Neodiprion lecontei: one gene and its partner. The protein of the gene in region 1 interacts with the protein of each later gene in a pairwise test. Links are inferred from orthologs where the notes say so. Each region holds a gene or a part of one and is shown on either strand. Other genes may lie near its edges. The genes, in order: raf homolog serine/threonine-protein kinase Raf and ras-related protein Rap1.

Evidence for each region.
Region 2: the proteins of raf homolog serine/threonine-protein kinase Raf (region 1) and ras-related protein Rap1 interact in a two-hybrid assay, tested with the Drosophila melanogaster proteins (2 studies listed by BioGRID). The link is inferred for Neodiprion lecontei from reciprocal best matches to the Drosophila melanogaster genes Raf and Rap1.

Annotation. Positions count from the first base shown.
Region 1 is NC_060262.1:27,894,385-27,898,317, forward strand, and holds the start of raf homolog serine/threonine-protein kinase Raf, read right to left. Parts: upstream 2,640-3,933; 5' UTR 2,252-2,639; coding exon 26-2,251; 3' UTR 1-25.
Region 2 is NC_060264.1:31,048,668-31,052,600, reverse strand, and holds the start of ras-related protein Rap1, read right to left. Parts: upstream 2,855-3,933; 5' UTR 2,236-2,854; intron 1-2,235. Other genes in the region: peroxisome biogenesis factor 10, read left to right, coding at 3,686-3,933. UniProt on the Drosophila melanogaster protein: Ras proteins bind GDP/GTP and possess intrinsic GTPase activity. Plays a role in photoreceptor cell determination.

The DNA of each region.
Region 1 (3,933 bases):
GGGTGAAAATTCAAAGTAATGTCCATTATATGTTCCCGCCCGATGGGTAAAAAGGGAATGCTCCGAATTGAAAGTTGACAGGCGTTTTAGGTGAAGCGCAGGCGTAAAGGAAATCATCCGTCTGCAATTGAGTTCGATTTAAATTTGGTTCCGAAGCTGATCTGGTTATCTTAGGCAAACCCTGAATCAAACCTTCCAAGCTAGCTAAAATTTGTCTAAATATCGGTCTTTCATCTCTGGAAAATTTTATACAGTCTTCCGTCAGGCGTTTCAAAGCCTTCGGAGTGTCCGATCTGAGTTTGTTCAAATCAGGACGCAGGTAGCCTCTCCCAACCATGAAGAGAATTTGATCTTTGTTGTTATTGTTACAATAAGGTAACTGTCCGGTAAGCAGTTCGAAAAGTACCACTCCGAAAGCGTAAACGTCGGACTGATAACTGTAGGGATTTTCTTCCTGCATTCTGATAACCTCGGGTGCCATCCATAAAATGGAACCAGTCGGTTGGTGAAATTGCTGAGATCCAGACCACCTTGTCTTCGCTGTTGCCAGTCCAAAATCACCAATCTTCACAGTCAAGTCATCGTGCAAGAATATATTGTTGCTCTTCAAATCCCGATGAATGATGTTCTTTGCGTGTAGATAATCCATACCCTGTGCAGTCTGTCTGCCAATTTCAATAAGTGTCAAAAGTTCAAACTTGGATTCAAAAACATGGAGGTGTTTGTACAAAGACGATCCCTCGCACCATTGAGTTACTATGGCGAGCTGGGGTTTACTGACGCAACCCATAAACAGGAGTATATTAACATGACGAGTTTTCCTGAGCACTGCAACTTCATTTTTAAATGCCTGGAGTTGAGCCAGTGTTGGAATTTTAACGTTCAAAGTTTTCACAGCCACCGGACCGTGCCAATGAGCTTTGTACACCGTCCCGAACGATCCTGAACCGATGCGAGGTCCCACCAATATTTCATCGGCCGGAATCTCCCAGTCTTCGATCGACTCTCTGGGGGCCAATAAATTTTTCGAAGATTCGTCAGCCGACCTTGCCCTTGGCCGTTTTGGCCTCAACGTACTCGTCGGACTCGCCTGCGTCGATTGACTGTGCTTGGTCGGACTGCTTCCAGGTGAAACCGGACTCTGAGTGTTACCAACCGGCCTTCCCAGGCTTTGAGATCTGGTGTAATCCTCGAGAGACGAGGGATCGCTCCCTGGTTTAACCATGTTGAAGCAGACATTGGGAGCGGAACTGGAGCGATCTTGCTGCCCCAAGGTTCTGGGATGTCTGTGACTTCTGACAGGAGCCAGAGACGGAGACATGCTTCGACTTAGACCATAGCCAGATGGAAGTTGGAGTATTCCAGCAGTAGTTTCGGGGTTGTGAGCCAGAAGAGCCTGGTAGTAAGCATCTTGCATGCGAACCTGATGACACAGCGCCGGAACACCGCCGGCACATCGTTGATGAAATCTGTAGTTACAAGTCCGGCAATAGAATCCTTGAAAGAGAAGTTTTCTACAGAATTCGCAGAACGCCAATGAGAAAAATGTCTTTCTAGCAAAATTGTGCGATATAGAAGTCGTTATAGGAAATTTATCCAATATCTCGACCGATATCTCGTCGCATTCCAAAGACGAAATGTCCGTGTCCCAGGGAATCGGTATCTTGGTATCGTTGTGTCCTATTACATAGACCACGCACATTTCCGGCGTAAGATTTCGCAGCTTCATCGCCTTGGCGAGGGCGTCTCTGAGCGAAAGTCCCTCTTTGACTTGGACGCTGGTGCGTTGCTGATTGGGTAGATGAGCGCGTAGCAAAGACTTCAGCGGGGTTCTCGGGTCTGGTTGTCTGGATGGTGTCTGAACCTCGTAGTCAATGTTAACACTAGCGGTAGAGTTCAGGAGCTCGTTGAGCTTCTGTTCCTTGGATTCGAGCTCGTGCAGCTTGCTGGTGAGTTCCTGATACTCGGTGAGGTAGATCGGAGGCGGGTGTTGAAAGCCGGCGAACTTGTTATTGAGCGCATCGATGTTCTGCCTCGTGACATGGATGACACTCTGGATATTTTTCAACTCGTATCTGAGGGGATCCGTCTCGAGGTAACAGTCTTCGAAATCACTCAAATCGGCGTTGTTGCCTGAGTATCCCTGCGACATGGTGTTTGAATGGTCATTACCATTACCACGGGACGGTGTCGTGTACGAAAACGTCGGTACTCTACCATGGACGAATCTTACTTCCCTAATAACTGCCATTTTCTAACGAGACCCACCTGACGCAGGTTGTTTTGTTTTCCTCGCAATGAACGTCGGCGGCGACGACATCGTGTTTAGCTAAATGGCCTTGCGAATTTAGCCGCCTATCTTCCTCCTTCTCCGCCACCTCCTCCTCCTCCTCCTCCTCCCCCCCCCTGCTCGGCCGCCAATATCTTCACCTTTTAACGCGATATAATTACGCACCGTTGGATATCACTTCACCCGACACCCGTCACTTTATATTTAAGTACGCGCCAACGATTGTTTAAACAATATTTATATTATTGCGGGTCGCACGATAATCGAGACTCTGAAAAACTCAACAATAGGCCAGTGTCAACGGCGGCTGCTTTCGCTGCCTTATTACTCTAAACTCTTGCGCAGAACCCGAACGGCGAACCGAACCGACACGGAAACTCCCGAGTTCTGTGTGTCCAGCGCCTCCGATACGTATATGGGTCATTCCACGTCAACGGTATAACGTGTATACCGTTTTCGAAAATTCATTACTAGACGGGTTTTCAAACATCATTTTGTATCAACCCTATGAAGAGTATGTCTGGCGGAAGGAGGGTTCGGAACGAGAATAACATTCCTCATTTCGCTTATTGTCAATCACGTGATTAAAGACGTGAAATAATCTTTTTCCATGCATTATTTTATAATCTTTAACTATCCGTATAATATTGCAGTAGTCGTTCCAATAGTTTCGTAATATTCAACATTTATGGTTGAAATGGATTGAAACGAATTGAAATTGTAAAAACAATCGTTTGGAAGTGAACATTTTATGCGAAGAATATGAACGATTTAGGATATTATAATGTGGATCTCGGGTGAAATTCATATTGAAAGGGAAAACAATCGAAATATACTATAATATCAAGAATTGGTTTGTCTGAAATACTGTTAACTACTTTTTTTATCTGCTATCTAGAGTTTGTGTTCAATTCGAACGTTGAGAATTAAAAGCAGAACGGATGTCAATGCGCGGTTGATGCTTAGTAATGAGAACCGTGAATAGTCGATAAAAAGAATAGAATTCCATAGAAATTAGCGGTCGAGTTTGTGGTTAGTTGAAAATTCCAAGACATGCATTTATATGCACGGTTAATATAAAAAAAAAATACACGTTTCAATTCTTTTATGTTCGTGGAACTTGAATTTTTATTCCATTATAATCACAAGACGATGTGCAAAAAATTTCGTTACAGACAAAATCCGAGAACAGATTAATTCGGTACAATATAATTTGGATACGTGCGTCAGGTTTGACCGCGGTTTCTTCACGTAATTTGTGAAAAGACTCCAGTTCCTTTCTGATTCTTTGGTTTTTTAATAATATCTCAACCAAATAATTTTGAATTACACTTTAAACTTTCCGGATAATTTCCGGGGGTGCAACCCCGATTTTTCTGATACCGACTTATATATTTATATACCTGTAGTTTTTCAGTCAGAGATTTGCAGTGTGTAGTATATTGTATATGCGATGCGATAGTGAATAGCATTTTCAATTTGATCGTTCCCGTGACTAATATATCTATTTATTAGCAGCCCGTCGTGTGGGTTCATCCGCTAATATTTTCAAATTCTTATTGTAGCTAAATTATTAGACATAGCAATGTGGTATTATCTGGAAGAGTTTAGTCAGCGTTCACACAAGTGTGCGATCTCGGTCC
Region 2 (3,933 bases), on another chromosome or scaffold:
TCGTTTAGAGAAATTTTTATGACATAACGTATCCCGTTGTTTCAGACTCATAAAAATTCAGGTTTAAATAATGGTACAACTCCATCTCTATACAAGTGTATTTAAATACTATTTCTAGTATATCAACCGCTTGAAGTTTACTGATTTAAAAACAAACATCAATCAATAACAGATCAATCTTCGGATAATCGATTGAAATTTGATGCTGCTCGAGGAGGCGCAACGATTATTTTTGTGTAGAGTTTATCCCCGTTTTTGGTACGAAGGATTACCGGAAAATCGACGAATCGCTTTAAATTAGTACGAATTATGACAGATGGTACAGAAATAGATCTACGAGGGAATGTGTTTTTTTTCTATCTTTGTTGCTGCTTGTTTCCTGCAGTTTGCCAGAATGGCGAAACTGAGTAGATGGAGTGTATCGTTTCGTCGATTAAGTTCAACCAGATACCTACACACACCAAGGATAATTGGTATCACTTACGTAACGACTCTCTACCTATATGTACATATGTATACACCCTCGAGTGGTTTCAAGTTGATAATTTTGTAACGTATACGTACAACTGTTTCTGTATACTTCGCGATGTTACTCCCACAATACGTGTTGTACCTTTCTGCAGGATGAGGGGTGGTTTGCTTTCTTCTCGTTGCTGTGTGAATTAATTTTTAATTGTATTCCCCCTGCTGCTGGAAGCCGATAATAGTCCATGGAATAATATAATAATCATACACAACGTGCCGAGTTTTCTTTACATTGTATAACGTGCATTAAAAACTTTAAAAATTTTACTATATATTCATTCGACTTACGTTTAAGATTAGTACGTACAATATTGACGGACGAGTAAATGAGGTTGCGTTTAATAATAACCTGCATGATAAACACTGGCAACAAGACACGTCGTAGAGAGACCCGTACAGTCCTCGTTTATGACGCCAGGTTGAAGAAAAATACAATCGATACATCGATGTCTAAAAAGCATGACGCAAGAAAGAATTTTATTTCCATGATCGGTGTAATCATCGATGATATAATCGTGTGCGATTACACAGATTATTCTATGCTGTCTATACAAATGACTAGCATTTTATCTCAAGAGAAGTTATTATCAAGTTCAAATTTCCCGCTCTCGTGACTCGATTTTATGTTACCTGTGTGAAGGTATGTAACAGCTGAGAAACAGTCAAGAATATTTGAAAATCATTCGACGTGAATTATAAAAATCGGGTAGAAGGTAATCTTGAGAGTGCGAGATCAGTGCCCGTATAAGCGTGGTACTATTATTAAATGTGCAGTACGTTAATTGATTTTATTTAAGGAACGACCGTGATGCACGCAACGTGCAGAGGGGGGGTGTCGAAGACCCTTAAACACATGAAGGATTTTCGTCCCGCGATGACGCTGATGGGGAATGGATGACGTTTATACACGCTCGTGTTACATCGTGCATAGATACACCGTATAATACGTGCGTACGGCGTTTTATGATATGAGTCACATTAGGATTATGATTATTTTTAGTGTATGTATCCGTAAGTTGAATCGTGTCGTCACTTGTTCTGATCGTAATTGCGGTAAAGCCAACCAACAACCATATATTGCATGTCTAGATGTCGCCTCGTAACGTGAAAGAGCCGACTAAATTATTACTGATAAATTATTTATCGTGGACAGTACGATAGGTCGATTTTAAAACGAGCCTCGTTCGCCGATAAAAGCGATTGGTTACCGTGATTAATTGAAAGAAATTGACAGGATTGACAGTAATAAAAGGGCAATAGCAGAAGAGAACAAAAAAAAGAGGAACATCGGTAACGTGGTACTGAAAGGAAGGGAGGGAACGCTCTCAGTTATGTGGATCAAGTATTTAGTCTATGGATGGTCGAAACGCAAGATAAATCCGGCTGCTGTGATCGTAGATAATAAATTCCTAGATATGCGACAAACGACAGAAGAAGAAAAATTCGCTTTCTCTCCCTTTATTCATCCGATTCCGATTATCGAATACTCGCGAATTAACTTTTTGTTTTTTGTTGCATAGTGAGAGGACCAGAGGGAAGCGGATGGGATCGACTGTCGAGCTAAAATGAGATACGACAAGATACTTGAGAGCTCGGACTGTGGGCGTTTTCAGTGTAGGGATGAATTGATGCATCGCTTGTGTGCGGAGATGAAGATAAGCGAAGAGAGACGGAATGAAGTAGATGTGTGTAATTTTCTTAGTTACATACCTGACGCCTATCTCGCGGTTGGTATCTCTGGGGATCCTTGATTTCCCGTAGAAATTACGATATATGGTGTATGATTGTTGTTGTTGTTGTTGTTTTATTTTGTTTTTTTACGACGTCCACCGTTTTCGATTTCGTTGCAACGACTTCCAAGTCTGACTGTGATTAGATTCTCCGGTTGTTTCCTGTCGTTCGCTTTTGCCTTCTTCTGTCGTCGCCGCCGCCGCTGCTGCTGCTGTTGCTGCTGCTGCTACACCGCCATGACTTCATGTAGAGAGAGAAAATACCCACTACTACCCAGAGTCACGATGTAGGTAGGTAGGCAGGCAGGCAGTTGAGTAGGTGTACGTACCAATTGCACACCGAGATTGTCGTCGAGTTGTGACACTGATACTCGGTTCACGAATGAAGGAATATCTTTTCTCTATTTTTTTTCGTTCGTAACTCTTTAAAGTCTTCCTACGAAACTTTTATTACAACTTTACATTCACAGATTTTCTTCCCCTCTAAGCCTCGTGTCGCCGATGCTGCACCCTTTCCACGCACACCGCACTACTGCCGAACTCGCGAGCATATAACAATAATTAATTTTACCTTTTATACAGTCTTGTTGAATTGTGTTGTTTTTTTTTTTTTTTAACTATTATTGTTATTTTCTTTGTATCCCGTATCTTTTTTCTTTTTCCTCGCAACACTTCTTTGTTCATTTACTCGTTAATTTAAATTCTCTAGTTTGTTGTTTTTTTTTTTCTCTTACGGATCATTCGATTCCACAGAGTCTCTATATCACCGCACGTTTTACTCCTTCTGTCGGTTCGTATCAATTTATAACACGGCCTTAAGTAACGCCCGGCGAATCACAATTCTACCGTTATCTAGGGCGATGCCTACTCTGCTCGTCGCCGCTCGCTCACCCTGTCTTCCATTGGCACGTCGCTACGAACGTTCGCCGATAGCTTCTCTCGTAACCTTTCGTCGGCCAATTGGGGGCTCCCTTACGTCGGTCAAGCCCAATGGGCACTCAGCTTTTATGTGATGACGTCACTAGCCATTCGACCAACGTAAGCGCAACCGCTTAGTCATACGCAGCCACACACCGAACGACATCCGGAACGCCAGATTCGAGCAGGATATTGTTTCGTACCTGTTTAAGCAGCAATTTTTGCTCTATTCCGTCACTACGAGCGTCGATTTTACCTATTTCGGAGCTATAAACTCGAGGTAACTGCCAAAAATCTCAAATAATTCTACTCACTCTCGGCCAATGGAGAGTGCGGAAAATTAATTTACTTTCTTTAAGTTGGCAGTTCCGTATGCCGCGAAATATAAAACTTGAAGACGTATCGGATCTTCGTGCATGCGATCTTGCGTTAATTTGTACAGAAATTCAAATGTTCGAATGTCTTTTGTTTCTTGGTCTTACCGTTAATCAGATGAAATTAGAAGGTCAACGATGGAGCGAGTTACTCCACGTGGTTTCCGATCGAAGGGTGCGAATCAGGCAGAAATATTAAGAGCCCGTCAGCGGGATGATATGTTTGTTACAAATTTGCGGGAAAACTTATCAGAATTGATGCACAAACTCGGTGGCAGCAAATTACTTCTACACATCGTACAGTCCGAGCTACCAGCCAAATTCGCCTATTTCATTGCTACTACAGCAATGAACAATCAGACTATTGGTGAGGAGTACACTGGCAT